Linked DNA regions of Elephas maximus indicus. The protein of the gene in region 1 purifies or fractionates together with the protein of each later gene. This does not show direct contact. Links are inferred from orthologs where the notes say so. Each region holds a gene or a part of one and is shown on either strand. Other genes may lie near its edges. The genes, in order: MED9, MED31, MED16 and POLR2B.

Evidence for each region.
Region 2: the proteins of MED9 (region 1) and MED31 purify together in Homo sapiens (affinity purification with mass spectrometry; 4 studies listed by BioGRID and IntAct, with this or other methods). This does not show direct contact. The link is inferred for Elephas maximus indicus from reciprocal best matches to the Homo sapiens genes MED9 and MED31.
Region 3: the proteins of MED9 (region 1) and MED16 purify together in Homo sapiens (affinity purification with mass spectrometry; 5 studies listed by BioGRID and IntAct, with this or other methods). This does not show direct contact. The link is inferred for Elephas maximus indicus from reciprocal best matches to the Homo sapiens genes MED9 and MED16.
Region 4: the proteins of MED9 (region 1) and POLR2B purify together in Homo sapiens (affinity purification with mass spectrometry; 4 studies listed by BioGRID and IntAct, with this or other methods). This does not show direct contact. The link is inferred for Elephas maximus indicus from reciprocal best matches to the Homo sapiens genes MED9 and POLR2B.

What each region holds. Positions count from the first base shown.
Region 1 is NC_064820.1:214,931,017-214,938,837, forward strand, and holds the start of MED9 (mediator of RNA polymerase II transcription subunit 9), read right to left. Parts: upstream 3,017-7,821; 5' UTR 2,935-3,016; coding exon 2,708-2,934; intron 2,698-2,707; exon of another isoform or gene 2,693-2,697; coding exon of another isoform or gene 2,544-2,692; intron 1-2,543.
Region 2 is NC_064837.1:16,396,715-16,404,150, forward strand, and holds the start of MED31 (mediator of RNA polymerase II transcription subunit 31), read right to left. Parts: upstream 3,004-7,436; 5' UTR 2,920-3,003; coding exon 2,892-2,919; intron 2,030-2,891; coding exon 1,952-2,029; intron 1,648-1,951; coding exon 1,551-1,647; intron 1-1,550. Other genes in the region: C19H17orf100 (uncharacterized protein C17orf100 homolog), read left to right, coding at 3,425-3,802. UniProt on the Homo sapiens protein: Component of the Mediator complex, a coactivator involved in the regulated transcription of nearly all RNA polymerase II-dependent genes.
Region 3 is NC_064821.1:626,182-634,045, reverse strand, and holds the start of MED16 (mediator of RNA polymerase II transcription subunit 16), read left to right. Parts: upstream 1-4,856; 5' UTR 4,857-4,973; intron 4,974-5,956; exon of another isoform or gene 5,957-5,985; 5' UTR 5,986-5,993; coding exon 5,994-6,126; intron 6,127-6,928; coding exon 6,929-7,036; intron 7,037-7,321; coding exon 7,322-7,491; intron 7,492-7,864. UniProt on the Homo sapiens protein: Component of the Mediator complex, a coactivator involved in the regulated transcription of nearly all RNA polymerase II-dependent genes.
Region 4 is NC_064823.1:104,050,933-104,058,767, forward strand, and holds the start of POLR2B (DNA-directed RNA polymerase II subunit RPB2), read right to left. Parts: upstream 3,015-7,835; 5' UTR 2,913-3,014; coding exon 2,894-2,912; intron 1-2,893. Other genes in the region: NOA1 (nitric oxide-associated protein 1), read left to right, coding at 3,707-4,856, 6,633-6,797. UniProt on the Homo sapiens protein: Catalytic core component of RNA polymerase II (Pol II), a DNA-dependent RNA polymerase which synthesizes mRNA precursors and many functional non-coding RNAs using the four ribonucleoside triphosphates as substrates.

The DNA.
Region 1 (7,821 bases):
TGGAAGAACCGTAGTCACCTGTTGCTTTGAGTTCCCTGTCAGAGGACTGTGGGGATCCGTTTCTTAAAGAGACTTTTAAGTGATCCTCCTGTTATTAGTCCCACTTTCACCCTTATTTCCAGAGGTTCCTGATACTGCTGATTCCTGGAATCTCGGGAGAGGCCACGGTGAAAGATCAAGGGTTTCATCTTACTCGGATCTACAGTCAATGCCCACGGAAGCAGCAGTCAAGAAATCAAATGACATATTGCACTGGACAAATCTGCTGCAAAAAACCTCTTTTAGGTGTTGAAAAGCAAAGATATCACTTTAAGGACTGGGTGCACCTGAGCCAAGCCATGGTATTTTCAATTGCCTCATATGCATGTAAAAGCTGGACAATGACTAAGGTAGACTGAGGAAGAATTGATTCCTCTGAATCATGGTGTTGGTGAGGAATACTGAATATACCATGGACTTCCAGAAGAATGAAAAAATCTGTCTTGGAAGAAGTATAGCCAGAGTGCTCCTCAGAAGCGAGGATGGTTGAGACTTCATCTCGCGTACTTTGGACATGTTATCAGGAGGGACCACTCCTTGGAGAAGGACATCATGCTTGGTAATGCTGAGCGTCACTGAAAAAGAGGAAGAACCTCAACGAGATGGATTGACACAGTGGCTGCAATGATGGGCTCAAGCATACGAAGGATTGTGAGGATGGTGCTGGACCAGGTAATGTTTTGTTCTGTTGTGCACAGGGTAACTATGAGTCGGAACTGACTTGACAGCACCTAAAAACAACAGCACGGTCAAAGGTGGACTGCTCTCAGGGCTGGTAGGTGAGTCAGCCCTTGACCGCCTGCCCTGTGGCAATCATCTCCTCTCCTGTTCTTTTTAGTTTTATACATTAAAAAAAAAAGAAAGAAAGAAAAACCCCTTCACTGTCCTTTTAGAGGAAACAGAGATGAATGCATGAGATTAACCCGCCGTCTTTCCCAGGGGGGAAAGTACACTTGAGTATACTGCACAACAATTCAGCAATTTCACAGGAGAAAAAGAGGCTCAGAGAAGTTAAGTTACTGGTGCAAGGTCATCCAGCTAGCATATTATAGAGCTATAATCTGAACCCCTAGTTTGAGGTCCATTATTATTATCCACATATTGAGATGAGAGAATTAAGGCCTAACACACCTGAATCCGGCACCGCCTGACTTCAAAGCCTATGTTCTCTCTAGTATAATTTACTGCCCCATCCTTAAAGCCAGCAGAACCCCACTGCTCTATCAGGGCTCAGGAACATACTCTCAGAGGTCTAAGAACCGTCTCTGCGAATGTGTATATTTTGGGTTTTCATTTTCCCAGATTTTTTAAAAACTAGCGTAAGTATATCTGGGTTAACCTGGCCAACCCCTTCATAATCCAGTACTGCCCCAGGAGTGTGGGGTGTGCACTTGCATTTGTCTTTGCAAACTCACTGTTGCCAAGAACAGAGTCTGCTTCACTTTTGTTTATGCAACGCGAAGCCAGACGAAGTCAGGGTCTAATGTGAGAACAAAGGTTTTGCAATAGTTTGAAGAGAAAAATGGTGGAAACATCATGTATCCCACAGCAAGTGAATTTAGGCTGGCTACTCAAAAGAATCTGGGCCATTAATGGTCCGTATGTTCATGTGGGAGCCCTGGTTGTGCAGAGGTTAAGGGCTCAGCTGCAAGCCAAAAGGTCAGCGGTTTGAATCCACCAGCCACTCCCTGAAAACCCTATGGAGCAATTCTACTCTGCCCTATAGGGTTGCTATGAGTTGGAATCAACTCCAAAGCAATGGGTTTGGTTTTTTTTATTTGTTTGTTTCTTTTATCCTCATGTAGCAATTCCATTTCAGCAAAACATCAAACAGCGTACTAATGTGCATTTGAATTGTGCTAGAATAGTAATTTCGTTTTAACCTACTTTGTGCATTTGTATTGGTTTAATGGCTAAATAAATTATAAGCATAAGGGGTTTCCACCTAGTATCCTGTGGATAGATATTCAAGTAACAAGAATAAAAATAACTTAGGTAAAAATGGGGATCAGGGAGACCTTTGGTTTTTTTTTCTTTTACAGGGGTCAGTTTGAAAACTCTAGCTAACTTGAATCCTGGCCAAAAGGATGACAACCACCCCCTATGGTACTATGTTAGAAGGAAATTAGTGCCACAGGATCTAATCTGGTGGGGAACTTGTTTCTTTTAATCATCAGCCCTTCCTTATCATCTTAAATTATGTGTCTTTCCCATTCCTTCTAACTGGCACACTCCACAGCACTTAGCCGTGTGTCATACAGGAAGGAGGGCCAAAACCTGTTGGCTGAATAGAAAAAAGGAGCCAAAGTGAGAATTACCCCCATATAACAGATGAGAAAACTGAGGGTCAGAGAGGCTGAACTTGCTCAAGATGGCTGCGATGCAAACTTTTTTTTTTTACTCCAGAGTCTGTGAATTTAGTCTCTGAGCTGACTTCATTCTTATTAATATCGGCTGGCCATCATGAGGCCTGGTAACTCTTAGGGATCAAGGCATTTGCTGACCTCATGGAAAGGCTCTGCGAGGTCCTGGGAAAAGCCTCTTTCCCCTCCGGTTCCGAAGCCCCATATGTAAAATGGGGGCAGCCTCTAAGCCTCTTCCAGCTCTGACAGGGGTGTGACGCGAAGCAGGGGGGAGTGTCGTGGATGGTCATCTTCTAGGGCCTTACCATTTGATGATGTTGTGAACCAGAGGTAAAAAGGAGTAATTCTCCTCCTCTTTCACGCCCGCAGGTGACTGCGGCCTCGGCGCGGGCGACTGCTGCGGCTGAGGCGCAGCGACCGGCGTTGGCGGCTGAGAAGGCGGCAGCGGCTTCGTCTCTGGAAGCTGCGGCTCGGCCGGCGGCGGCAACACATCCTCCGCCTGACGCCCGGGGGCCACACCAGCGGAGGCCATGAAGTTCAGGGGTCTGTCAGTCAATCAGCAGGACCCTGGGGGGATCAACACGCCGAAAGCGTCACGGATTTCATACGTCACCGCTGCGCGCCGGCAGGAAGGGTCTACGCATGCGCACAGGCGTATGGGTGCCGGGCAAAGGGGCTGGGCAGTGCTTGGCGACTGTTGCTGGGCAACAGGCTGTTGGCGGGCCTGGGTGGCCTGAACTTGGCTGTGAGTCAACATGGCTAAATTATTAAACACTCGGAAATAGGAGACTTATTTCAAAAAATAACCCAGTCTTTCTTATTCCTATTCATCTGACGAAGAGAGCCCAAACGCAACCAACACGGAAACCTTGCGATAAATAAGGCTCAGCGTGGCCCAAACTCAACCCATTGCCCTTGAGTTGATTCCAACTCATAGTGATCCTATAGGGCAGAGTAGAACAGCCCCATATGGGATTTTCAAGGAGCAGCTGCTGGATTCGAACTGCCAACCTTTGATTAGCAGCCACAGCTCTTAACCACTGCGCCACCAGGGCTCCCACCATCCGCCATTCCTCTGGAAGGTCTCCTGAAGAAAAAAAAGTTGAACTATGGGAAGACTGAAAAAAAAAAAAAAAAAAAGAAACCAAACCCACTGTGGTGGAGTCGATTCAGACTCTTAGCGACCCTACAGGACAGAGTAGAACTGCCTCATAGGGTTTCCTAGGCTGTAACCTTTAGAATTGTTTTTTGTTTCTTTCACTTTTACAGAAGCAGATAGCCCCGTCTTTCTCCTGCAGATTGTCTGGATGGGTTCCAGCCACCAACCTTTAATTTAGCAGCTGAACACTTAAACGTTCTACCACCAGGGCTCCTTCAGAAGGGATTAACCACCCCTCCCCCCGAAAAAACAAAAAAAAAATAACAAAGCTAAACCTGTTGCCATGGAGTAGATTCCAACTCACAGCGATCCCATATGTTACAGTGTGAAACTGCTCCACAGGGTTTCTTGGCTGTAGTTTTTATGGAAGCAGATCACCAGGCCTTCCTTCTGCAGGGCTGCTAGGTGGGTTCAAACTGCCAACCTTTAGGATAGTAATTGAGCATAAATCTGTTTGCACCACCCAAGGACCTAGATGGGGATTCATGCCACAAATAATAATACATTGAAGAATTTCAAATACTCTCTGTCATGGATTGAATTGTGTCCCCCCAAAAATATGTGTCAACTTGGTTAGGCCATGATTCCCAGTATTGTGTGGTTGTCCTCCATTTTGTGATTGTAATTAATTTATATTGAGAGGATTAGGGTGGGATTTTTTAGCACCACCCTTACTCAGGTCACCTCCCTGATCCAAGGTAGAGTTTCCCTGGGGTGTGGCCTGCATCACCTTTTCTCTCTCAAGAGAGTAAAGGAAAGGGAAGCAAGCAGAGAGTTGGGGACCTCATACCACCAAGAAAGCAGCACCAGAAGCAGGGTGTGTCCTTTGGACACAGGGTCCCTGTGCCTAAGATGCTCCTCAACCAGGGGAAGATTGAGGATAAGGATCTTCCTCCAGAGCCAACAGAGAGAAAGCCTTCCCCTGGAGCTGACACCCTGAATTTGGACTTGTAACCTACTAGACTGTGAGAAATTAAATTTCTATTTATTAAAGCCATCACTTGTGGTATTTCTTTTATAGCAGTACTAGATAACTAAGACACTCTTCATACTTCTGGGCCAGTTCCTTAAGCTCCCTAGGTCCCAGTTTCCTTACCTCCGAAGCCTAGACTGCTTTCTAAGTTTAAATATGTGGCTGACCCCTGAAGGTAGGTCTCATTTGCATGAGGACCCCCTGGGACCCAAGGAATCAGGGAGACTTCTGGTGGTTTGTGGTTATGTTCCTCAAATAGGTACGACCAGGGGACTGTACAATAAATGTCTAGGCTGGGCAGCCAGTGGAAGAAGAAAGGCATGGGCTAGGAAAGCCTTCATTTGGCATCATTCCTCAGTCTACCATCATGGGCAGTAAGGAGTCCACCTTCAGGCAGCCAGATGAGCAGTAACTGATATTTCGGAAGCATGGGGAGCAGGCAGATCCTTGGGCAGCAAGATTGCAGAGTGGAAACTGGGTGTTGTTGGGGGTGCTGGAGAGGAAAGGGAGGGGGAGAGGCCTGCAGGGACCTCCTCACCTAAGGGAAGAGTTCAAGAGTTCTTGTGGAGAATAGAGGAGAAAGGACTATTGGGATAAGACCAGATGTGCTGGAAGAGAGGGTATACATTTGGAGTCACCTGGGGGAAATAATGATGGAATAATGGTAATAATAATAATAATAACCATAGCTACCATGGAATAAAAGAAGGTACAAGAAACAGAATTACAATATTATCTCATTTAATCCACAAAGGAGTTTTAGAAGGTAGATGTTTGCATTCCCATTTTATAGATGAGGAAACTGAGTCTTACAACGGTTAAGACCCTGGTCCCGGGGTCACACACACAACTTTCCTGGCACCAAGCCTGTGCATAAGAGACCTCAGGTCCCTTCCAATTCTGAAACTTTATGATTCAAAATGTTAAAGTTAAGTTCTTATTCAGAATTCAAAAAGCAATCTGCTATTCATCAATAATATCCCCATGGTGACTGCATGTCATCTTCCTCTCCTGGTGTGTTTTATAACTTCATCATGAATCTTTGTCATTGCCGGAATAATCTTTTTTTAAAAAAACACTTCAAGTATAAATAGATATGGCTAAAGAAAACAATTTGAAAATGTATTAAGCATGAACAAGTATGGCACATTGACAATTTGTCCTAAAAATAGTTAATATAATTAGGGGCAAAGAGTAAAGCTGACTTCACAAGGATGCAAGTGGATGTCACAAAAATACTGCCTGTGCTGGTTTCATTAAAGCTTCAATTGCGGCAACAAACATGTGTCTGTTTATAACCGCCTTGTGAAGAGTCAGAAAAAGGCAGCTGCTTCATTGATACCTAAGGAGTATATGTTGTTATGAACGTCACAGAGTTAAGCTATATGTGGATCACTTTCCGAAGCAGCTTCTTAAAGGGCTTTGTCTGGTCAGGTGGAGGTTGTGAGTTCAGGCTTCAGAACCAACCTGCTGGCTTTCCATCCCAGCTCCGCTTCTGAAGTTGGACGGCTTTGGACAATTGTTTCCTGATTCAACCTCATAGAAGGATTGAGTGAGGTTATACAGGTAAAGCATGTAGAGAAGTATCTTCACTCAGCAAACATTAATTCTTATTATTCAGATGTAGGGTTTCCTCCCTCACCAATTAAAAAAAATCAACTGGTGGCAGTTAAGAAGAATAGTCTAGAATGATCTAGATCAGCACTCTAATAGAAATGTCATTTTCAATTTTCTCTTAGCCACATTAAAAAAAAAGAAATGGGTGAATTTAATGTTAATACATTTTACTTAACCCACAATCAAAATATTATTATTTCAACATGTAATCTATATTAAAAATTGCGAACAAGGTATTTTATTGTCTACATGTAAATGTTTTGTCTAAAATAGTCCATTTTCTCCTATGTATTTCACTATAATATCAGTATAATAATAAGAGAAATCCTATAGAACAGTGGCCAAACAACATAAAGAAACATGTCTTTAGGTAGAAGGAAAATGATTCTAGGTAGAAATTTGAGTCTATACAGTGGAATGAAGAACTCTGAAAATAGTCAATATGTGCATAAGTATGAAATATATTTTTCTCCTTTTTAAAATAATATTTTATTGTTGTAAAGATGGCATGAGGTGGCATCTGATCTCCTCTAACTTCATAAGGGTGAAGGAGAATCAAGATCAACAGCCCAAGGCTGGTTCTTCTGAGGCAGAGGTCAGACTTGCCTCCTCTTTCTGCCATCTTTACCAATTCTGACACCAACTGTCCCTCCCACAACACTCTACTTCTCTGCTAGTTTCGATAGTTCATTACAGTGGCTACACAGAACTCAAGGACAATACTCACAATTATGAGGTTTATTACGGGTTACAATTCAGGTTCAGGAACTCTCAGAATACAGTTCTTCCATCAGGACAACCTCTTCTCAGCTGTGCCCACAGGCAGGCCTCTCTCTGGCTCCTGCTCGGGCAAGTGTTACCAAGCTCTTTTAGTTCTGCTGCTAAGTGCCCAGAGGCATCCCACTCCATCAGTAAACCTCAGCCCAAAGGTGCTCAGCTCTAGCTCTGTGGATGGGCAAACTTAGCTCTATCAAGTGCCTGGAAGCACCCTACTCCACCAGCAAACCTCCTGCCTGAAGGTACACTGCTTTCTCACTCCATGGACTGGAAAGCACACTGCACCATCTCCCTGCATGTTCTCTCCTGCAGCCATTTCTCTGGCATTGCTTCTCACCATCTTCAGTGTTGCAGCTCTCTCTGTCTCTCTCTCTTGTTCTCCTGGTTCCAGGAGCTTCTCAGCACAGGAATCCTGGGTCCAAAGGAGCTGCTTTGCTCTTGGCCCGTCTTCCTTGGTAGTGGGGAGATCCCCTCCTTCTTGCCTCTGGGATGGCTCATCTTAAGCCTAAGGGGATGGCAAAACTGACCAATCCCTTTGGTGGGCCACAATTACCTTATTTGCATAGTCCCACCCAATCACTTGGGTGGGATTTCCAAGACCATGGCAGGAAGACCACACAAAAGAGATCCATAGCACCATGATTGTGTTTTTAGTGAAAGTTTATGTAGCAGGTTAGGTTTCCCTTTGACAATTTCCACACAAACTGATCAATGACGTTAGTTACACTTTTCACATTGTGTCAGCGTTCTCATTAGGTGTATTCTGGTTGTTCTATTTCCAGTACTCTAGTTTTCCTGCCTCCTTGTCTTCAAATCTTTGCTTTGGATTAAATGTTGATCTTTTGGACTCATACAGATTTTTTTTTTTTTTTCAGTACAGCACCAATCTAATG
Region 2 (7,436 bases), on another chromosome or scaffold:
GCATACCCTGAATGATCAATAAATGAGCTATATACTTAATGATAAAAAAAAAAAAAAGTCATGGATGTGAAGCACTTAGCGCAGTATTTAGCACATAAAAAAAGACAGCAGCTGTAAGACTTAGGCAAGGTTACCTTGTCTACCTCAACATAAAGGAAACAAAAATCCTCACAACTGGACCAATAAGCAACATCATGGTACCAAACCTGCTGTTGTCAAGTCAACTCTAACGCACACCCACCCTTTAAGACAGATTAGAACTGCCCCATAGGGTTTCCAAGGAGCAGCTGATGGATTCAAACTGCCGACCCTTTGGTTAGCAGCTGTAGCCTCTTAACCACCATGCCACCAGGACTCCAACGTCATGGTAAGTGGAGAAAATATTGAAGTTGTCAAGGATTTAATTTTACTTGGATCCACCATCAACACCCATGGAAGCAACAGTCAAGAAATCAAATGATGTATATTGCATTGGGCAAATCTGCTGCAAAAAAACTTCTTTTAAGAGTTAAAAAGCAGATGTCACTTTGAGGACTGAGGTGTGCCTGACCCAAATCATGGTATTTTCAATTGCCTCATATGCACGCAAAAGCTGGACATTGAATATGGAAGACTGAAAAAGAATTGATGCCTTTGAATTATGGCGTTGGCAAAGAATACTGACTATACCACTGACTGCTAGAAGAACGAACGTATCTGTCTTGGGAGAAGCATAGCCAGAATGCTCCTTAGAAGTGAGGATGGCGAGATTTCACCTCATGTACCTTGGACATGTTGTCAGGAGGGACAAATCTGGAGAAGGACATCAAGCTTGGTCAAGTACAGGGTCAGCGAAAAAGAGGAAGACCCTCAACGAGATGAGCTGACACAGAGGCTGCAACAATGGGCTCAAATATAACAGCAATTGTGAGGATGTCACAGGACTGGGCAGTGTTTCGTTCTGTTGTACACAGGGTGGCTATGAGTCAGAACCAACTCAACAGCACCTAACAACAACATCTTGTCTAGGGCACCTCAGAAACTCCTTCCCTGCAAGTACACCTTTCTGTGTTCTTTAATTTTCAGCCTATGGCTATGTCATTGCACTTTTAAGCTGGGTTCCTTAGGGTCAGAAACTGAGTGAGATGGAGTGAGTAGTACAAGACAAGGTCGTACAAGAAGGGGTCAGATCATATACGGACTTAGCCCATGAACAAAGACTGGATTTTATTCTGCATACAATAGAAACCCATTGAAAAATTCTAGCGAGAAAGTGGTGTGTTCTGATTTACATTTTTAAGGGATAAAGTTAGCTTCTGTGAAGAAAATATTGTTTTGCTTTGTTTGGTTTGGGGGTAAGGGAGGGAGGTGAGTGAGAGCAGTGATAACCAGTCACTAGATCACTGTAATCCAAGTGAGCAGATGAGGGTGCCTTGTATTAAGGTGGTGACAACTAAAAGAGGTCCGGAGAATCAAAATATATATTTTTTCCAATTTGAAACTAAGAAGTCTGTTAAAGATCAGTATAACAAATACACACACATACTTAGGATTATAAAAATTAAACTTACTTTAGATACTTGGCATATTCTGGCTCTTTCCAGTAAAGCAAGTATTTTAGATAATTAACAAAAGCTTTGTCTTTGAAGTAACCTCTTTGGGCAAGAACTGAAAGGCACAAAAAAAAAAAAAAAAAAATCTGTAGGTCAAACCCATCCTTGGGCCACTGGTTTGTGACTCCTAACATACAAAGAATTTGCTTACTTTAACATCCCCACCACAAACACACACTGAATTCAAAACAAGCTCCAGCATGCTCAATTACATCTATACAACAGTATAAGTGTAGCACTAATTCTACTCAATTAAGCTAAAAGGTATAAAAATAGGTACTATTATGAATTGCAACTCTTCTGTCGGAAATCATTAATATTTGTACATATTCAATTTAAGGAGGTGCCCAACAACTTACAATTAAGGTAATTTGGGTTGGCTAAACACTGCACAAATTCCAACTCCAGCTGAAACCGAAGTCGATTTCCAGCATCATCTAGGACAGAAGACATCGAAAGTCACCCAAAATAAATGTCACTATATATGTAATCCTGATTTGTAGAAAGGCCGTAATAAAGAAACCTGACTAATGTTGAAGTACATTTCTGTATAAAGAAGAGTATATGATGATTTTCCTAAACTGGGTGTGGGAGGAGGTAAACCTTCCTTTGAAGTCTAAAAAAAAAGAGGAGCTCTGATTAAAAGGAATAAGTTAGGAGTTTTTCTAACATCAAAGAGAAGTCAACAAAAGCAGGAATATACAGAGTACCTACCACTTGGGGGCCACTGGGACTTTAAATCACTGAAATAGGCTGTAACAATTTTGCCTTCCCCTACCTTAATAATGCACTATAACAACAATCGTTAAGTCACTAAATTAAGGTACAGTTCAGTGAGTGCTAAATCAGGAAAAAACTCAAAATGCAAGCCGAAAAAGACGACTACACAGAGTGTGAAAGACCATGAAGTATGTGCACACCTGAGAAACTTCAATAACAGCAGAATGATACACAAGTTTGTCGACGGTATTTCAAACTTGTGCAAGCTTATTTGAAACGCAGAAAATAAACCGAGGAGGAGGCCATTGAAGATACCTCAGCCTCGCCCACGCCGGGAAGCCGACGGGGTCAGTGTTTGCATAGCAAGCGTGGAGAAAATATCTGAGAACCAACGAAACTCTAAAAAGGCAAAAACTACCTTCGCCTTTCCAGACGCCACAAGAAACACCGCCCCTCCCTCTCCGGGCTCTAATCCTGCCGGGAGTTAGGCCCGAAAGGAGGCCAAGAGGAAACGGGAGATAGTGTCTGGACCAAAAATAGTACTATTTGCGAATATTCGAGGCTCAGAGCGCTACTCACCTGTCTCCATGGCGACGGCAGCGGCCATAAAAACCAAAGACACTTGCCCGCCACCACTCGACAAAACAACTGACCGCAGCCACTGGGTAGATGCCGGAAGTCACAGCTTCACCTTCCGGTCCCGGGGCAGTGTGGGATACCGGGGGCGGAGGTGGGCCGAGCCTCGCCCTGTAGCTCTCAGCTCCGCCCATCGCCGTCCGGCCCCGCCCTGGCCCCGCCCACGCAAGCTTTCGAGGGGCTACCGGCTGGTGCGAGAGCCAAGCCCAAGGCAGCCCGGCCTTTCCTCCGGGAGGTCCTGAGGGCGAGGGGCTTTCAGCCTCTACAAGACCCTCAGTATCCCGTGTCATCATGTTGTGGCCCTCTCGCCCGTGACAGCATCGTAGTCTTCCACCATTGTGCCTGCAATGACATAATACGTCATTATGACGTCATTCCTTAACAAGTGACCCTGTGTCCTAACCCAGAGGCTTGATGGAGGGCGAGCGTGGGCTGTGAGCCCTCGAGGCCTCGTTGGCCCGCGATACAGCCCCAGAATGGCCTCGCCCCTTAGGGGAAAGCCCTCTTCACCCCGAGTGGAGACGGTCCGCCATAAGGAGACTTCGACGGTTCGCGTGGAGACCTCGTCCCACCGCGTGGAGACATCCTCTAGGCAGGTGCGAACGTCTTCCCGTCAGGTGGAGACCTCCCTGCGCCGCAGCGAGGGGCCCCCCACTGCCCCCTTTGGGAAACGGCTCCCTCACGTCCTCGAGGTGTCCTCCCAGCACGTGGAAACCTCCTCCCAGTGCACGGAAACGTCCTCCCGCCACATCCGGGCGTCGACTCTGCGAGTGGAGACGTCTCTGCACCACGTGGAGAGCCCGGCCCGGCGGGACAAGCCGGCGGCCCGCCAGAACGTAAAAACGGCCCCGTGAGATGCTGTCCAAAGGCCACGAGAGGGCCCTGGCCCTTGGCCACCGAACGATTGCCTCCAGTTTCCAGCCAGTCAGCTGCCAGGAGGACCAGTTGTCTTTGGTTTCATGGAACCAAGCCATAAATGAATGTAAGAAGCAGCCAAGCTGTGATTTCTGGACTCAGCCAACTGTTACTGACCGCCCTGCACCTTCGACCATCCTACCTTTGACCCAGTGACTGTTTTAATTTGAAGCCAACCCAAAAAGTTTTCAGGCCTATGATACTGTATAAATTGGGCTGGATGGACAAAGAGGCTGCTTGAGCTTCTGAGCCAGGTGAGTTTTGGATTGATAGCCACTGATAGAAAGACTTTTACAGTCGCAAACTTGTGGAACAGGGACCACACTGAAAGTAGTCATGACCTGTTAAAAGCCTAAGGGGCAAGGAACAGAAGTTCATGATTAATTGGCCTTTGTTTATGTTTCAGATTAACAAGTTAATTATTTTCTTTATGCCAAACACTTGTACATGGTACTCCTGACCACACACTTTTTAATACAGGTCAAAGGTAGTTAAAAATGAAAGGTGAAGGCAAACAACAACAACAAAAATCAATAAAAATCCTAGAAGGGAGGTGAGAGGAGGTCATTAAAACCTGACCTGTGGTTTGAGGATGATGGAGGGGAAGAATATTTATTGATTACCTGCTGGTGCCAGGCACTATTCTAAGCACTGGGCTATCGCAGTGAACAGGATAGACAAGGGCCCTCCTCTCATGGAGCTTGTTGTTGTTAGTTACCATGTGTCAGCTCCAGCTCATAGCAGCCCCATGTACAACAGAATGTAACATTTCCTGATCCCTCCCTATCTTCATGGTCTTATCTTCCAGCGTTGTATCTGACAATGTTTTGCTGATCCTTAGGGTTTTCATTGGCTGATTTTCTGAAGTAGATTACCTGGCCTTTCTTCCTAGTCTCTCAGTCTGGAAGCTCTGCTGAAACAGGTCTACCATGGGTGACCTTGCTGGTATTTGAAATATTGGTAGCATAGCTTCCAGCATCATAGCAACACACAAACTACCGCGGTATGACAAACTGACAGATGAGTGGTGGTCATGGAGCTTACACTCTAATAAAGACAAAAAAAGGCAGGCAACAAACAACAAGACAATTTTCTATTGTAATTAGCAGTACAAAGGAAATAAATAAGCAATGTGATAGAAAATGAGGGTAAGGAGTTATTTAGAGAGGGTGGTCAGGGAAGGCCTTGCTGAGAAGGAGACATTTGATCTGAGGTTTGTATGTGTGAACAGTGAGCCATGCAAAGATCTGGAGAGGATGCATTTTTGGCAGAGGGAACAGCAAGTGCAAAGGGTTGGGTAGGAACCAGCTCGGAAAGTTTGAGGAACAGAAGGAAGACTAGTGTGGCTTAGTAAGTGAGAGCAGGAGCATGACTTGGCAGAGACGAGATTAGTGAAGTAGGCAGGGGCCAGATCATAGAGCATCTTGTAAGACATGGTGTGGAGCTTGGGTTTTATTCTAAGCTCAATGGGAAGACATTGGAGAGTTTTCAGCAGGGGAGTGACATTATGCAATTTACATTTTCGAAAGATCCTCTGGCTGCTGTGTGTACAATGAATGTAGGGCAGGGTTCTCAGCCAAGGGTGGTTTTATCCCCCAGGGGACATTTGGCAATGTCTAGAGACATGTTTGTCAAAGCTGGTGGGGGTGCTACTGGCATCCAGTGAGTAGAGGCCAAGGATGCTGCTCAGCAATGCACAGGTCAGCGCCCCCACAGCAATTACTTGGCCCAAAGTGTCAATAATGCCGAGAATGAGCAACCCTGATGTACGGAACAAGAGAGGAATCAGGGAGATTATTTAGGAGGCTAATGCCATGGTCCAACAACAGATGATAATGGCTTAGTCTAGGGTGGCAGAAGTGGAGCTAGAGAGAAGTGGACAGACTAGGGGTGTGTTTTCAGGCAGAGCTGGCCTAACTGACTGATTAGATATGGAAGGTGAGGGAAAGAGAAACAGAGGAATCAAGGATGACTCTGAAGTTTTGGCTTGAGCAGTCAAGTAAATGGTGCCGTGTACTGAGACGAGAAATATTAGGGAAGGGCATGTTTAGGAGGGAAAATTGCTTCTGTTTTGGTCATGTTGAGTTTGAGACACTTATATGATAACCAAGTGGAGACATTGAGTGGCAGTTGAATTAAGAGACTGGCTACCATGAGAGAGATGAGGGTTAGAAATATAAAATGTGGCATCATCAGTACATAAATGGCGCTTAAACCCATGGAACTGTCAGTTGCTCAGCTGCCAGTTTCTGCCCCCTTCATTTCATGTTGCATGAATAAAATTAAGACCTTGTTCTTTAAGGAGCACCAGCAAGTCAAAGCATCTATTCCCTCTCTCTCAACGACATAGGGCCAGGCTTGACCCACCTAATTTTTCCTTGCCTGTAGTCCATTTTTTTTGTAGTCCCTTGGCAGCTACCAATAAGGGAGAAAGTTTGCTTCACAAAATTTGACTTTCACAGCCAACATTAGTACACTGCTATTGGGAAGAAGGTCTTAAACCAATTTCTAGTGGTTCAAGGATTCTTTTGGGGGTGGGGGTGGGGGAGGGCATGGATATTAACGTGTAGTTCTAGCTCCAGGTCCTCAAGGGAAACTAAAGAACAACTGAATTGATTTCTAACAATGGTTCTCAGCCAGGGGCAGTTTTGCCCAACAGCGGGTACTTGGCAGTGTCTGGAGATATATTTGGTTGTCACGACTGGAGCAAAGGCAGGAGTGGGTACCACTGGCATCTAAGGGTATAAGCCAGGGACGCTGCTAAGTATCCTACAAAGCACAGGTCAACTCCCTACAACAAAGAGTTACTCGGCCCAAAATGTCAAGAGTGCCAAGGCTGAGAAACTTCGAAGTTTCCAGCAGCTTGGAAAGCTAGAGCATTGCCCAATCTCTTCAGAGCAGTTGTTTTGTGTGAGGCCTACGTACTAGTGGGAAAGGGTTAGAGATAGTGACCTCTGGTGAAGAGCAGGGCAGGAGAGCTCAGAGAAGAGAGATATGTTGCTCTTTGAGGAACCTTAACACCCCTGCTTTCAATAGTTTATGTGATATTTATCCCAGGAAGACAGGTGATCCCATCTGTGGGCTATAAGTTATCTTGGTAATGTGGGCCCACATTGTGAGGTAGAGTACTTGATATTGCCAGGCCCTGTGATAAGTCATTACCCATGTTATTCATTTAATTACAGGGAAGTACACTGGGCTCTTCCATTGTACAGAGGCTCAGGCCAGGAGAAATGTTATAAAACCCTGGAGGCTAGCCTAATGCTTCTGACTCATAACACTTCCACTATAAATTAATAAACTAATAATTAGCCTTGGGAATTTTAGTCTTTGGTGAGCTTACTAATTCTTTTTAACATGGATGACTATGGGCATTACATGCAAACACCCTCTTAATCAATGTTTTTTAAATTTTTAAGGTAGTTCTCTTTAACAATGCTCTTTATTAAAGTTTTTATTACAGAAGTGATATGTGCTTAATGTAACAAATGAAATAAGTCAAGGATGTGTAACCATTTGATGTCATTCCTTTCCATTCCCATTCTCTGGAGATAATTAACGTCAACTATCTGG
Region 3 (7,864 bases), on another chromosome or scaffold:
GTAGATTTTAAATTTCCCTCTCAGGGGAGAAAAACCAAAACTCACCCCTGCTGAGACACGGTGGGGCTTCATCCAGCCCCTGCCCCACCCAATCCCTGTTTCTTGCTTGGGTTCGGGGGGAGTCTCTGGGGCCCCACCGTTGCCCCAGGAGCTTCGTGTCTTGTGTGTGTTTGTGCGTGTGCGTGCCCCACTACCCAGGCCAGGAACAGCGTTTTAAAGGCTGGATTAATCCTCTTTTTGGAACGTGTGTCCTCCCCTGGTGCCTTTTGGCTGATGTGTTTTTGCTTGTGTGACATGGGCAGCTCTACGTGTCCCCTCATACCCCCACTTCCCTCTCCCTTCCTTGGTACTCTGGGGGCTCAGGACTTCCAGCCAGAAGCTCCTGTCCTCAGAAAGCCCTGTTCCCCCACCTCATGTCCCCTGTGTCCCCCAGCCTGGCTCTGGCCCATTGAGTCAGGGAGTCTCCGGCCTCTCTGCTGGTCACCCTACCCCAGGCTGTGAGAGCAGGGCTGGGGACCCCCCTTCCGAGTGTGTGGTTAGTTGTGTTTTTGGGAAAATGGAGGGTTCAATAAATTTCTGGTGCTCTGCCCTCGGGCTGGGCGGCTTTTTCTTTGGGTGGTGTGTGTGCTGGTCACTGAGGGCTGCAGGCCTGGCGGGATGAGATTCCCTGATAAGAATGCTATCCCTGTAGAAGGTACTCATGGGAACCCTGTTGGGTGCTGCCAGGCCGTTAATCTCTTGAGTACCCCCGGTTCGAATCCCACCTCTGCCTCTTTTCAGCTGTGTGACCTTGGATGCGTCACTAACCTCTCTGTGCCTCAGTTTCCCCATGTGATAAACAGGGTCGGCAGGAGGATTATGTGAGATAATTGATGCAGGTAAAACCCTGGCTCAGGGCAAGTAATACCATGCTCAGAAATCTATTTAGCTGCACTTCCTGGCCTGGGTTATTTGTTTCCCACCAATGGTAATTTTGTATCCCCCTGCTCACAGTGTTTTTGTTTTGGAAGCTCAGACGCCAGGGAGGTGGCAGGAGGGGCCTGTGAATGCCATTCCTCTGGTCACTGGATCCATTTCCCAATGACTATTTTCTGAGCCTTTTTTTTTTTTTTATTGTGCTTTAAGTCAAAGCTTACAAATCAAGTCAGTCTCTCATACAAAAATTTGTGAACACCTTGCTATATACTCCTAGTTGCTCTCGCCCTAATAAGACAGCACACTCCTTCCCCCCACTCTGTATTTTCATGTCCAGTCGGTTTCTGACCCCCTCCGGCCTCTCATCTCCCCTCCACACAGGAGCTGCCCACATAGTCTCATGCGTCTACTCGATCCAAGAAGCTCACTCTTCACCAGTATCATTTTCTACCCCGTAGTCCAGTCCAATCCCTGTATGAAGAGTTGGCTTTGGGAATGCTTCCTGTCTTGGGCTAACAGAAGGTCTGGGGACCATAACCTCTGGGGTCTTTCTAGTCTCAGTCAGACCATTAAGTCTGGTCTTTTACGAGAATTTGGGGTCTGCATCTCCTGTTCTGAGCCATTTTGAGAGGGAGGTTCGGGCCTGGAGTCTGTCACCCTCAGTTGTTCGGCTCCGGGAACGGGGACTTTCTGCACAGTCATGGCACCATCCTCCCTTGAGGACTTTAATCTTGATCCAGTGTGGCCTTCGGATATTCAGACCCTTAAAGAAAGATAGCCTTTTTACTTTAGAACAGCAACAGCGTCAGATTTACAGTCACCGGGAAGACAGTTCAGAGAGCCCCATCCACCACATGCCTGCTTTCCCCTTTTTGAACGTCTCACATCAGTGTGGCCATTTGTCACAATAATGAACAATATCAATACTGGGGAGTCTTTGGGTGACAGCTTGATGCCTAACTGACAGGTTGGCGGTTCAAACCCACTGTCTTAGCTATCTAGTGCTGCTGTAACAGAAATACAAGTGGATGGCTTCAACAAACAGGAAGTTTTGTTGTCTCACAGTCTAGGAGGGTAGAAGTCCAAATTCAGGGTACCAGTTCCAGGGGAAGCCTTCTCTGTCAGCTCTGGAGGAAGGTCCTGTCATCAATCTTCCCGCAGTCTTGGAGCTTCTCAGGCTCAGGGACCCTGGGTCCAAACGACGCTCTCTGCTCCCAGTGTTGCTCTCTTGGTGGTATGCGGTCCCCCTGTCTCTGTTCACTTCTCTTTTATATCTCAAAAGAGATTGGTTCAAGACACAACCCAATCCTGCAGATTGAGTCCTGCCTCATTAACGTAACCGTGCTAATCCCATTTCATCAACATCATAAAACCAAACCCATTACCGTGGAGTCTATTCTGACTCATAGTGACCCTATAGGACAGGGTAGAACTGCCCTGTGGAGTTTCCAAAGAGCGCCTAGTGGATTTGAACTGCCAACCTTTTGGTAAACATCCATAGCACTTAACCGCTATGCCACCAGGGTTTCTGTTATAGAGACAGGATTCACAACACATGGAAAATCACGTCAGACGACAAAATGGACAATCACACAATACTGGGAATCACGGCCCAGCCAAGTTGACAGACATTTTGGGGGCACGCAATTCAATCCATGGCACCCACCTAGAGGCCCCTAGGAAGAAAGGCCTGGTTATCTGCTTCTGAAAGGTCACACCCTTGAAAACCCTATTGACTCAGTTCTGCTCTGCACACATGGGAACGCCATGCTTTGAAATCGACTGGCTGCCAAACGACAACACTGATACATTATCATGAACTAAGGTCCACACTTTATTCAAATTTCTTTCGTTTTTCCCTGATTTCCTGTTTCTGGGACCCACGGGACCTTTAGTTCTCGCATCTCTTCAGGCTCCTCTAGGCAGCGACAGTTTCTCAGACTTTCCCTGTTTTTGAGACTTTGATGGTTTTAAAGGGTGTTACTGAGGAGTTTTGTGGGAGGCCCCTTGATTGGGGTTTGGCGCTTTTCTCATGAGGAGACTGAGGCTGTGGGTTTTGGGGAGGAAACCCCAGGGGTGAGGTGCCCTCCCCATCTCACCATATCAGGGTGCATACAGTCCACATGAACCGTCACTGTGACATTGACCTTGCTCACCTGGCTCAGGTGAGTTGTCAGGTGTCTGCACTGTGAAGTGAGCCCTTTCCCCCCTTTCCAAGCTGTGCCCTTTGGAAGGACATCACTATGCACCCACACTTAGGGGTGGGCGTAAGGCTGGAGAATCTACACAGAGTATTTTGAATTCTGCAGGGAGATCTCTGTTCTCCCTCTATTAATTTATCTGTCTTAGTCATCTAATGCTGCTATAACAGAAATACCACAAGTGGATAGCTTTTAACAGAGAATTTTATTTTCTCACAGTCTAGTAGGTTACAAGTCCAAATTCAGGGCGTCGGCTCCAGAGGAAGGCCTTCTGTCTGTCAGCCCTGGAGGAAGATCCTTTGTCCTCAATCTTCCCTGGTCCAGGAGCTTCTCAGGCACAGGGACCCCGTGTCCAAAGGACACGCTCTGCTCCTGGTGCAGCTTTCTTGGTGGTTTGAGGTCCCCAACTCTCTGCTTGCTTCCCTTTCTTTTTATCTCTTGAGAGATGAAAGGTGGTTCAGACCAGGGAAACTCCCTTTACATTGGATCTAGGTGGTGACCTGAGAGAGGGTGGTGTTGCAATTCCACCCTAATCCTCTTAACGTAAAATTACAATCACAAAAATGGAGGACAACCACACACGGCCTAACCAAGTTTATACACAGATTCTGGGGGGGACATAATTCAGTCGGTGACATTATCCAATCATCTATTTATAACACTATGAACTCAAGGGGGATCACTTTAAATTTTGGATTATAATCCCATACTACTTTATTTTGTTGCTTAAGCGATTCCACTTCAGCCCTGGGGAGCTCTTCGGTTGTCTCCTGCGTCCTTTCGACCTACCCCATCATGTGGGGGGGTTATTTACCGAGTTATTTCCTTATTTTCTGGCACATTTTGTATACTTCTGCACCCTCCTAGAATCGGCCATTTCTCCAAGGAGCCCGGTTCTAACTATCGGAGCGTGATTTGGGGAACCAAGATCTGGGCGCTGGGCGTGCGCGATTCCATTTTAACACACGTTTAAAACGTTTTCAAGACAGATGTTGAAAATGGAAATCCAAACGTTGGGTAGAGGTGGTGCGTGCCCAGTGCGGGGTTCAAAAGACCCGGCTGGACTGACCGGCGCGAGGGTCACTATCCGGGAAGTGGTTCCCAGAGGGCAAGCCTTGGGGATTAAGGTACGGGCTGCGGAGTTGGGGTGCTCCCCAGGGTTGGGGTGCGCTAGAAGCGTTGCCTGCAACTTTAGAACGTTTTCTTCGGTAGCCCAAGAGGGGCAGTGCTGGCGGGGGGAAAAGAATGAGATTTTGGAAAAGAAATCAGGTTTGGAACCGGCAGTTCCCCCCACGGGACAAGCCTTGGAGCTTCAGTTTACCCTCCAATGAAGATTGGAAATAAGAACCAAAATATGGAACGCTTCACGAATTTGCGTGTCATCCTTGCGCAGGGGCCATGCTAATCTTCTCTGTATCGTTCCAATTTTAGTATATGTGCTGCCGAAGCGAGCACGGTTACCACGCTAGTCCGTCCCATATTTATAGTATCTCCTGTTCATCTCTTTACAGTAAAGGTCACTCTTTTTTTAAGGTTAGCAATCTATAAATCCTTTATATGACATTAGTACAACACATGGAGTAATAACAAAAAATTTTAAGAATAACTGCCGTGGAGAAAGTCCCCTAGTTGTTCTACCAACTAGAACTGCGATGGCTGCTGGGAAGATTTCCATGTAAATAAGCCACCGCATGCAAATTATGGCGCTGGGGCGGGGCCGTCCCAGAAGTCTCTGCGAAGCTGCGACGCCGCGCAGGCGACTCTTTGGTCCCGGGTAATATGGCGGCGCCGGAGCCCGCGGGTTAACGCGAGTGCGGGCCGTGGCCGCCCGATCGGCTTGGCGCACGGGCTGGCCAGGTGAGCGCGGCGCTGCGCGGGCCCGGCGGGGGCGTCCGGCGTCCGGACGTTGCTCGCGGCCCCGGGGAGCGCGGGCCAGAATAGGTGGAACCGGCGGGGGCGGGGCCTCGAGGGCCACCGTTCCGGGGGCGGGGCCTGCAGGGCCGGGGGGCGGGGTCTGGGAGCAAAGGGTGCTGGGTACGCGGCCAGCGCGCCGGGGGCGGGCCCAGGGGCTGTTACGGGAACTTGGGGTGGAGCCTGAGGTCCGCGGGGGTCAGGGCCTGGGGGCCGTGGGGGAATCGGGGCGAGGACTGCAGAGCAAATGCTGATGAGGGCGGGGCCCGCGGGTCAGGGGCGGGGCCCGCGGGTCAGGGGGCGGGGCCCGCGGGTCAGGGGGCGGGGCCGGGGAGGACGGGGCTGGTGGGCGGCCTGGTCGGGGACACGTTGGGGTGGGGTCCCCGGGAGGAGCCTGGGGAGACTTTGGGGTGAGCCCGACTCCGCGGTGTCACCAATCAGGGTCCTCCGTGTGCTGCCCTCGCCTCCCGCGGGCTCCTGCGGACAGCCGTCGGGCTCCTGTTTTTTGATTTTTTCCAGCCACGGCCCTCCAGGGCCCCGGGGCGAGTCCTCCTCGTCCACAGCCTGCCTGTGGGCCCCCTGCCCTTCCCTCCTCCTTCCTCTTGCTCACTCCCTGCTCACTCGCTGTAGCCACAGCCATGCTGCTGCCTTTCTCCAACTCGCCAGGCTTGGTCCTGCCTCAGGGCCTTTGCACGTCCTGTTCCCTTCCCTGGAGGCTCTTCCTCCAGATGTCTCCTGCCTCCCTCCTTCACCCCTGTGCTCACATATCGCTTCCCCACTTAAAGCTGCAGATCCTCCCACCACACACACACAGTGCCCAGGGCAAGGATTTGATCTGCTTTGTTTACTCCTGCGGTATGTCTAGGGTCCAGAGTGCCACTTGGCACACTGCAGGCGCCAACATCAATGACAAGCCCTCCCTCCTTCAGGAGCTAGTGACATCCGTGCTGTGTGGCAGGTGGCATAATGGACCTGGCTTACGTCTGCGAGTGGGAAAAATGGCCCAGGAGCACCCTCTGCCCTTCCGTGCCCCTGGCTTGCGCCTGGTCTTGCCGCAACCTCATTGCCTTCACCACGGACCTGCGGAACGATGATCAAGGTGCGCTGGCCGCACCACAGTAGTGCCCCTGGAGTCCTGGGGAGCCAGCACCGTGGGGCTCAGTCTCAGGCCTGTCTAGGACCCCGGTTCCACCCCTCACCCAGTGGGCAGCCTGGCCATTCACCCTGCCCCCTTGTCTATAACCTGGGGGCAGTGGGATCTCCAACCTCACAGGGATTCAGGGGGTGAACATGGAGACCTCTCATGCCTGGAACCTGCAAGGTGCTTGGGTTCACTCCCACGGGATTGAGTGGGGACGGGGGGTGGTGGGTCACTGAGGCGTATCTGGAGACTCACTCGCCCCATTTTCCATTCGGTCTTTGAACATATGGGTCACTGTTTGGCTTTTGAAAATCTCTGAAGTACACAGTGCCCAGGTCTCTCTCTGCCATCGTCTGCATAATATGTGCTCGTTAGAGAGAATTAGAAAAGCACAGAAAACTAGAACTAGGAAAAAGAACCACCTGTTACCTTCCACGGACAAGTGCTTACTGTTAGCGTTTTGGGTTCATTTTCTCCCATTTTTGTTTTCTGTGCCTTTTGTGAGAACGTGGTTGTAATTACATTGGCAGTGGTGTGTTCCCTGCCTGCCTCTCTCCTCTGGCGGGGTCACACACGCGCCTCACTGTGTCACCGTTGTCCTCAACGTGATTGATGGCAGCTCCACAGCTTCCCTGTGAATGGGGTCTTTGGTGGGCTGCTCAGTTGAGCCTGCCTGGGGTCCTCAGGGTGCTCCTTCAGGGCCATGCTGACGGTGCTCCGTACCACTTCCGGGCCATGCTGACCGTGCTCCGTCCCACAGACCTGACTCGTATGATCCATATCCTGGACACGGAACACCCCTGGGAGGTGCACTCCATTGACTCGGAGCACCGTGAGGCCATCACCTGCCTCGAGTGGGACCAGTCAGGTGAGGAACGGGCCCCGGGTTGGGCTGCGACATGCTCACATCTCCAACTGTAGAGTTGGGACTTGGACCTCCTGCCATCAGTCTCTCCTGCTCACTGTGTCCAGAGACGTTTCCTGAGCGCACCTCAGGCCTCCCGACTGCTGGGCCTTTGCCCAGGCCACGCCTTCCACTGGGCACTCCTCTCATACCGTCTGTACCCTCGAAACCTGTCCCCCCTTCCCAGGCCCCTTGGGAGTTTGCCCCTGCCTTCTGGGGAAGGTTTGTGATGCAGCTTTGTCCCCACAGGCTCCCGGCTCCTCTCGGCCGATGCTGACGGCCAGATCAAGTGCTGGGGCATGGCAGACCACCTGGCCAATAGCTGGGAGAGCCCAGTGGGCAGCCTGGTGGAGGGGGACCCCATCGTGGCCCTGTCCTGGCTACACAATGGAGTGAAGCTGGCCCTCCATGTGGAAAAGGTGAGTGGCCCACCTGAGTGAGTAGGTTGGTGGGTGAGATCTTGCCATCCTACCCATTCACCTGGCCACCTGTCTCCCCGTCTCCCACCACCACCATTGTCCCCTGATTTCTTGAGCCCTGGGCCTGGTTCACACCTGGGATGAGCACCTGGTTGTCAGTGGGGCTTGAAACGGGTTCTGCCTGGTTCAGTCATGGCCAAGGAAGCGTCACTGGAACAGTCCCAAATTTTTAAAGTTATGGTGTATCAGAAAGATAGCTGGAGCAGGAGCAGTTATTGGCCAAAGTCCTGTGTTTTGGTCATCTAGTGCCGATATAACAGAAATACCACAAGTGCATGGCTTTAACAAAGAGAAGTTTGTGTTCTTACAGTCC
Region 4 (7,835 bases), on another chromosome or scaffold:
CCTGTTCCTTTTAGTAAGCGTGGCTATGAATGGAAAGAGGAAGACAAAAATACCGGGAGAAAAAAAAAGAAAACAGTGAAAAGAGGGTTTAACTGTGAATGGTGTATCCTGTGAATGACATCTAATATTTTACACAGAAACCAGATGAAAAGTAGTGTCTGAAAACTGATAAGATGGTGTCTAACAGATTTCAAAGGGCACAGACGTGAATGGAATGTACTCAATCCTAGAGCATTCATGAACATGATAACTTTAACTCTTTTTCCACAGGCATTATTATTATACATCGCTAATAAGAATGTAAAATTGTACAATTACCTTGGCGGTCACTTAGCACCATCTATCAAAATGTTAAATGTGTCTAACATTTGAACCAACAATTCTATACCCAGGAATTTATTCGAGACATACTTGTACGTGGGAAAAAAAACATATGTACAAGATTATGAACCACTGTTTGAACTAGAAAAAGACTGGAAATAACCAATGTCCATCAACAAGACACTACCTAATTAAGTTACAGATATCCATACAAACTAGGTTAACTATGGTAGAAAAACGAGGCTTTCTATATACTAATAGAAAATCTCCTAAATTTATTAAGCAAAAAATAAAAGTGCAGAGAAGTGTGAATATTAGCTTCTATTTGTAAAAGGGGGAAAAATAAAAACCTGTTATGTTGAGTCAATTCTGACTCATTGCAACCCTACAGGACTGAACAAAGCTGCCCCACAGAATCTCATTTGTATTTGCTTAAATATGCATAAAAGAAATTCTGGAGTAATAAGTAAGAATCTAAAAAGAGTGATTACTCATTTGTGGAAGGGATTAAAGTAGACAGATGGTAAACAAGAATGAGAACAGGCACTTTAAAGTGTTTGTAATTTCTAGCTGGTGAGCCATGAGAATACAGTACCTACTCAAAAACTTAAAACTTTAAAATTTTCTTCTGAGATAAAGTTAAGAAGAAAAAGAAATGTAAAGATGCTGATGAACTTCTAGACAAAAGATATGAATCAGACAGAATCATTACAGCAGAGTTTTAACTTTCCGTTTCTATTTTCTCCGTGAAGTAGCTAACAGAATGACAAGAAAAGCAAGCAGTGACCATAGGATAAGGAGCTGGAGGAGAATGAAGTTTGAAATAGTAACTGTAGGCAATCGAAGAGGGAGCTTTAAAAACACAACATGAAAATACACTAGACATGATTAAAAATTCTTTATACAAAAAGAAAAAGGATACGTTCCACCTGTTCAGTAAAACGTATTATCAAGCAAGAACAATTACTACAATTCCTTGTGGGAAGAGTAAGTTTAAAAGCCATCTTTTAAGACAATTTGCTTAGACTTAAGACAGCATGAGGAATGCCAAACTAGATCAACCCCTTCTCCAGTGTATTTCCAGGGCCTAGCACGATGTCAGAAATTCAAGCCAGATTCAGAAGAGGACATGGAACAAGGAATACCATTGCTGAAGTCAAAGGAATTTTGGTTGACAGAAACAATACCAGAAATATGTTTACCTGTGTTTTATTAACTGTGCAAAGGTATTCGACTGTGTGCATCATAACAAATTATGGATAACACCGTGAAGAATGGGAATTCCAGGACGCTTTATTGTGCTCATGAGGAACCTGTACTTAGACCAAGAGGCAGTCGTTAGAACAGAACAAGGGGATACTGGGTGGTTTAAAGTCAAGAAAGGTGTGCGTCAGGGTTGTATCCTTTCATCATACTCATTCAATATGTATGCTGAGCAAACAATCTGAAACGCTGGATTATATGAAGAGGAAAGTGGCATCAGGATTGGTGGAAGACTCACTAACAAGCTGCGATATGCGGATGACACAACCTTGCTTTCTGAAAGTGAAGAGGATTTGAAGCACTTTACTGGTGAAGGTCAAAGACCACAGCCTTCAGTATAGATTACACCTCGATACAAAGAAAACAAAAATCCTCACAACTGTACCAATAAACAACATCATGATAAACAGAAAAAATACTGAAGTCACGGAGTTCATTTTACATGGATCCAGAATCAATGCACATGGAAGCAGCAGTCAAGAAATCAAACGACGTACTGTACTAATCTGCTGCAAAAGACCTCTTTAAAGTATTTAAAAGCAAAGCTGTCACCTTGAGGACTAAGATGCGGCTGATCCAAGCCACGGTATTTTCCATCAAGTATGCATGTGAAAGCTCGACAATGAATGAAGACCCAAGAAGAACTGATGCCTTTGAACTACGGTATTGGCGAAGAATACTGAATATACCACGGACTGCCAGAAGTTGGAACAAATCTGACTCGGAGTAAGTACAGCCGGAATGCTCCTTAGAAACGAGGATGGTGAGACTTCGCCTCATGTACCTTGGACATGTTAAAACAAGGGACCAGTCCCTGAAGTACATCATGCTTGGTAGAGGGTCAGCAAAAAAGAGGAAGACCCTCACGGCACCTAATGACAACAACAGCACAATGCCTGGCACAAGGGTGACGCTCATTAATTGAACTAGTCGATAAAACCACTAACTGTGGCCCTAAGGGAAATCAAGAAAAGAGCACTTTGCTTCAGATCAAGTCAAAACAACCATATTTGTCTTACGGTTCTGTACGTTTTTGCAATACCGCAGGTAAATAGCACAATTAACAGGATAGAGAATAGAGAGGGAGAAGAGAATAACAGTCATTTGACTAGGAACTTCAACGTCACGTTCCCTGCACCCTCCACCTCTCGCAACCTGGCTTCGTTCTCGGCCTGTAGTATGCGAGGACCACAACCGGGGACACTTGTGCGGCTGGCGGGGGTCGGCCACAAATCCTCAATCCGTCCAGTTACCCAAATTCCCCACCCTAACTGGGTCGCCGCGGAGTGAGATTTGAGTGGTCACCTACCCTCGTCCGCGTCATACATATTGGCAAAAGGTACCGGAGCGCCTAGCTCTTGAAATCTAGAGAGACAGAAAAGAGCGAAGCAGCCGCCAGCTCCCGGAGAGCGCGTCGAAGTAATTTCCGTCTCCGGCGTTCCCAGAATACTGTGCGTCTTACACCAAAAAAAAAAAAAAAAACACCAAAAAAAGCCACCCACAAAGAAGCAAATATTAGAACTGCGCTTGCGCAAATGATAGAGCATGTTGGCTAGGGTTGGCTTTACGCACGCGCAAATTCTGACACGACGCCTCTAGTGGCTGTTCGCTAGAACTCCTCGTACTGTTTGAGGGTATTCGGCCAGTGCAGGTTTTTTTTTATTGTGTGCACACTCTGAGTGTTGTTGCGCAAATAATGATTTTTTTTTTTAGCCAAGGTGTATTAATTTAAAAAGTGTTATTAATAAAAGGCTTTCGTTGCGGCCCTGCTTCTGCGACACTCGTTTTATTTTCTGCACTTCTGAAGACCAAAAAACACGCAAGCTTTTAAAATGTAATTTATTAAGAGCAGGGTATGCTAGCGGTGGAGCGTTGAAGGAATCTGAATAGTTCAAAGCATGCACTATCCTCTTGTGGCAGCTAAGTGAGTATTTAGGTCCCAGATTCGTGGCCTCAAAGCCTTCCAATCGCGAGAACTCACGGAATTCAAAACGGGAGGAGGAGCCAGAATGATAGCTCCCAGACACCCCGGGGTTTTCGACTCGCGTTTGCCTCGCGCCTCGGTCCCGAGTGCGCATGTGCGGAGGTGGCTCCGCCCTTTTGCCCAGGTGCCGCGTTTCTCATGCTGCCCGCACGCCTAACCCGTGAGTTGTTCCTCTCGTTGTTGCGGGCCTCAGCTCCTGTGGTAGTGCGCCATGGCCTCCGGGAGCCGCTGCTCGAGAGAGGATACGCGGCCGCCTACTCCTTCCAGCACCCCTCCGGCCTGGGACGTGGGCTTTCTTATGGCCCGACGGCGACTGGGGGCTACGGAGGAAGGACTGACATGGAGGAGCAATTTCTGTTCCCTGAGTACGTCGCGGAGCCGGAGCCCGCGCCGACCCCCGAAGAGGAGCTGCAGCAGCAGCTGCAGCGGCAGGAGGAGGAGGAGCGAGAGAAGCAGCAGCGGCGGGAGGAGCGACGCCAGCAGAAGCTACGGGTCAGCCGCCGGGTGCACCCGATCGTAGGGCACCCAGACGCGGCGGTGCCGCCCAGCGGCGTGAACTGCTCAGGCTGCGGGGCGGAGCTGCACTGCCAGAACCCCGACGTGCCCGGCTACCTGCCCAGCGAGAAGTTCCTCAGCGCCGCGGCGCAGGCCGACGGCGGGCTGGCGCGGACCGTGTGCCAGCGCTGCTGGCTGCTGGTGCACCACCGGCGCGCTCTGCGCGTGCAGGTGAGCCGCGAGCAGTACCGGGAGCTCGTGAGCTCCGCGCTCCGACGGCCGGGTCCCGCACTGGTGCTCTACATGGTGGACCTGCTCGACCTGCCCGACGCCCTGCTGCCCGACCTGCCGGCGCTGGTGGGCCCCAAACAACTGATCGTGCTGGGGAACAAGGTGGACCTGCTGCCCCAGGACGCCCCCGGCTACCGGCGCCGGCTCCGGGAGCGGCTGTGGAACGACTGTGCCCGCGCCGGCCTCCTGCCGCCTCGTAGGTACCGAGGGCCACAGGGCCCCGGCGGAGACGGCCCTGGGGACCCGGAGGAAAATCCGAATCCGTCGGCCAAGCCCCGCACGGTACTCAGGGACGTGCGGCTGATAAGCGCCAAAACCGGTTACGGGGTCGAAGAGTTGATCTCCGCGCTTCAGCGCTCCTGGCGCTACCGTGGTGACGTCTACCTGGTGGGCGCCACCAACGCCGGCAAGTCCACTCTCTTCAACACACTCCTAGAATCCGACTACTGCATCGCCAAGGGCGCCGAGGCCATCGACAGGGCCACCATCTCCACCTGGCCAGGTGAGCCGTACGAGGCTCGCCCCTTTCGGTTTTTGAGAAGTTGGACTTCTGGTCGTGACCCCAGGCGTCTAGTACAGCATTTGTAATGTCCACCAGGAGGTGCTTACAGTTTTCCCTTTAGAAATTCTTTCCCAACTTTGGTCACAGGTCTCTTTTCTGAGTCATCTTAGTGCTTGGACAATCTGTATGCATTGTAGTAATTTTGTAATAGAACTATTTATGGAGCGTTTCTATGTGCCGGTCACTGTTCTAGGCACTGGAGATACAAAGTTCCTGCTGTCTTGGAGGTTTCCCTTGTAACTTCTTTGTGTGTTTCTCTGAAACGTTATGTTTCCTTTTATGCTCTGAACTTACACCCTTCAGTCCTACTTCTCATATCTTGAGTTTATTCATACAAATGTGAAGTGTGCTATACACACATTTCACATTTTGAAAAATTCAGTGAAGCAATATGATGTGTGGCTCTGTCTAGAAGAAATGTCGATTTTGTGGCTTTAAGAAGTTTCTGTAATCGAAAAATGGGTCATTCTATGAGCCTGTTGGAGGCCTCGTGGCGCAATGGATAAGAGCTAGGCCACTAGTCGAAGGGTTGGCAGTTCAAATCTACCAGCCGCTCCTTGGAAACCCTATGGGGCAGTTCTCCTGTGGGGTCGCTATGAGTCGGAACCTACTTGAAGGCACGTAACAACAACGTGACCCTGTTAGTATTTAACAGTTGGCAATAGGGTCACTATGAGTCAGAATCGACTGAAAAGGCAACAGGTTTGGTGGAGTTTTTTTGTTTGTTTTTTTGGTTTAATCTTTTGTGGGTACTAACTGTCCCAGTTTTTCCTTTGAAACTAGAATTGAGCTTTGGCAAGCTTTTTTCTTTCTCGGCCTTGAACTTTATTGTTTTGGTTTTGTTTTGTTGTATTGTGCTTTAGGTGAGGGTTTACAGCACAAATTAATTTCTCATTCAAAAATTTATACACAAATCATTTTGTAATGTTGGTTGTAGTCCCCACAATGTGACAGCATACTCCCCCTTTCCACCCCGGGTTCCCTGTGTCCATTTGTCCAGTTTTCCCATCCTTTTCTGCCTTCTCATCTTGCTTTTGGGCACTAGTTGCCCATTTGGTCTGGTATACTTGATTGAACAAAAAAAAAATTGTTATTTAGGCCTGTCTAATCTTTGTCTGGAAGTTGGAGTTCGGAAGTGGCTTCAGTTCTGAGTTAGCAGGGTTTCTGGGGGCCATAGTCTCGGGGGCTCCTCCAGTCTCTGTGAGACCAGTAAGTCTGGTCTTTTTTGTGTGAACTTGAATTTTGTCCTACATTTTTCTCTTGCTCTGTCCAGGACGCTATTGTGATCTCTGTCAGAGTGGCTGGTGGTGGTAACCCGGCACCATCTAGTTCTGAGCTCAGGCTAGTGGAGGCTGTGTGTGGTTCATTTGGTCCATTGATCTTTTGGGCTAATATTTTCTTTGTGTCTTTGGTTTTCTTTCTGCTTTGAACTTTGGTTGAATTATACAGGAAAGTGCTTCTATGCATGGTGAATATGGAAAGAAATCAGATCTGCAAATTTTGGATTCAAATCCTGAGCCAATCTGAGCCTGTTTTTTCATCTGTAAAATGGGAATAATTTTATAGAGGGTTATCACAAAGCTTAAGTGAGATAAATCACGGTATCCAACACAGTGTAACTCTTCAAAAATGTTAGTCGTTCCCCGCCCCGCGCGTTTCTTTTTTTTTTTTTTGGTACAGCATTTATAAAAGCCCACTTATTCTTTGGTATTTTAGGTACTACATTAAACCTTCTGAAGTTTCCTATTTGCAACCCAACGCCTTATAGAATGTTTGAAAGGCAAAAGAGGCTTAAAAAAGATGCAAGAAAAGCTGAAGAAGATCTTACAGAGCAAGAACAAAATCAACTTAATCTCTTGAAAAAGCATGGTTATGTAGTAGGTAAGCATCTTCCGTAGGAAAGCTGTTGTTGGTTCTGTGCTAAAATTCTTCGGAGTGCCACCTGAAATACAGCTGTCGTGGGCTAGCTAGTTTTTGTGGAGAAAATAGAAGCCCTTCAGATGCAAAGCTTCTCTTTGGAAACCCAGAGGTTAGTACGCTGGGACCATAGTTACTTGGAGGAGTCCAGAAAAGAAACCATGCAATAGCTGCTGCCCTAGCCATTGTCAGCAGTAGAAACATTTCCTCAGGAGGCACCCTATTCAATGCAGACCATTACAGGTAGTGAAGGTGATTCCCTGCAGCAGCTTTAAATTAATCTGTCCTCCTTTTCTTGGTATCTGTTTCCAGCCTTTCATTAATAAAAACAGTTTGATTTCCAACACCACACTACCCCCAACACTACACAGCCAGTTGTACACTTGATCATTGCAACAGTCTGACTCCCACTGCCTTTGGGGAAAAAAGCAAAGTTGGTATCGTGGTCTTATTTCCATAGATTGTAGTTAACATTAGTAACTTTTTTAAGGCAAACATAAAATTTACCTATCTGACACACAGTGTAGGGGAAGTCAGCACAACTGGACTAAACCAAAAGCTAAGAAGTTTCCCGAACACAACCAAATACTTCAAGGGACAGAATAGCAGGGGCAGGGGTCTGGGGACCATGATTTCGGGGGACATCTAGGTCACTTGGCCTAAAAAAGTTTATTAAGAAAATGTTCTGCATCCCACTTTGGTGAGTGGCATCTGGGGTCTTAAAAGCTAGCAAGTGGCCGTCTAAGATGTATCAATTGGTCCCAACCCAACTGGAGCAAAAGCAAATGAAGAACACCAAAGGCACATGGAAAATATTAGCCCAAGGGACAGAAAGGGCCACATAAACCAGAGACTCCATCAGCCTGAGACGAGAAGAACTAGATGGTGCCTGCCTACTGCCACTGACCACCCTGACAGGGAACACAGAGTCCCTGATGGAGTAGGAGAAAAGTGGGGTGCAGAACTCAAATTCTTGTAAAAAGACCAGACTTAATGGTCTGA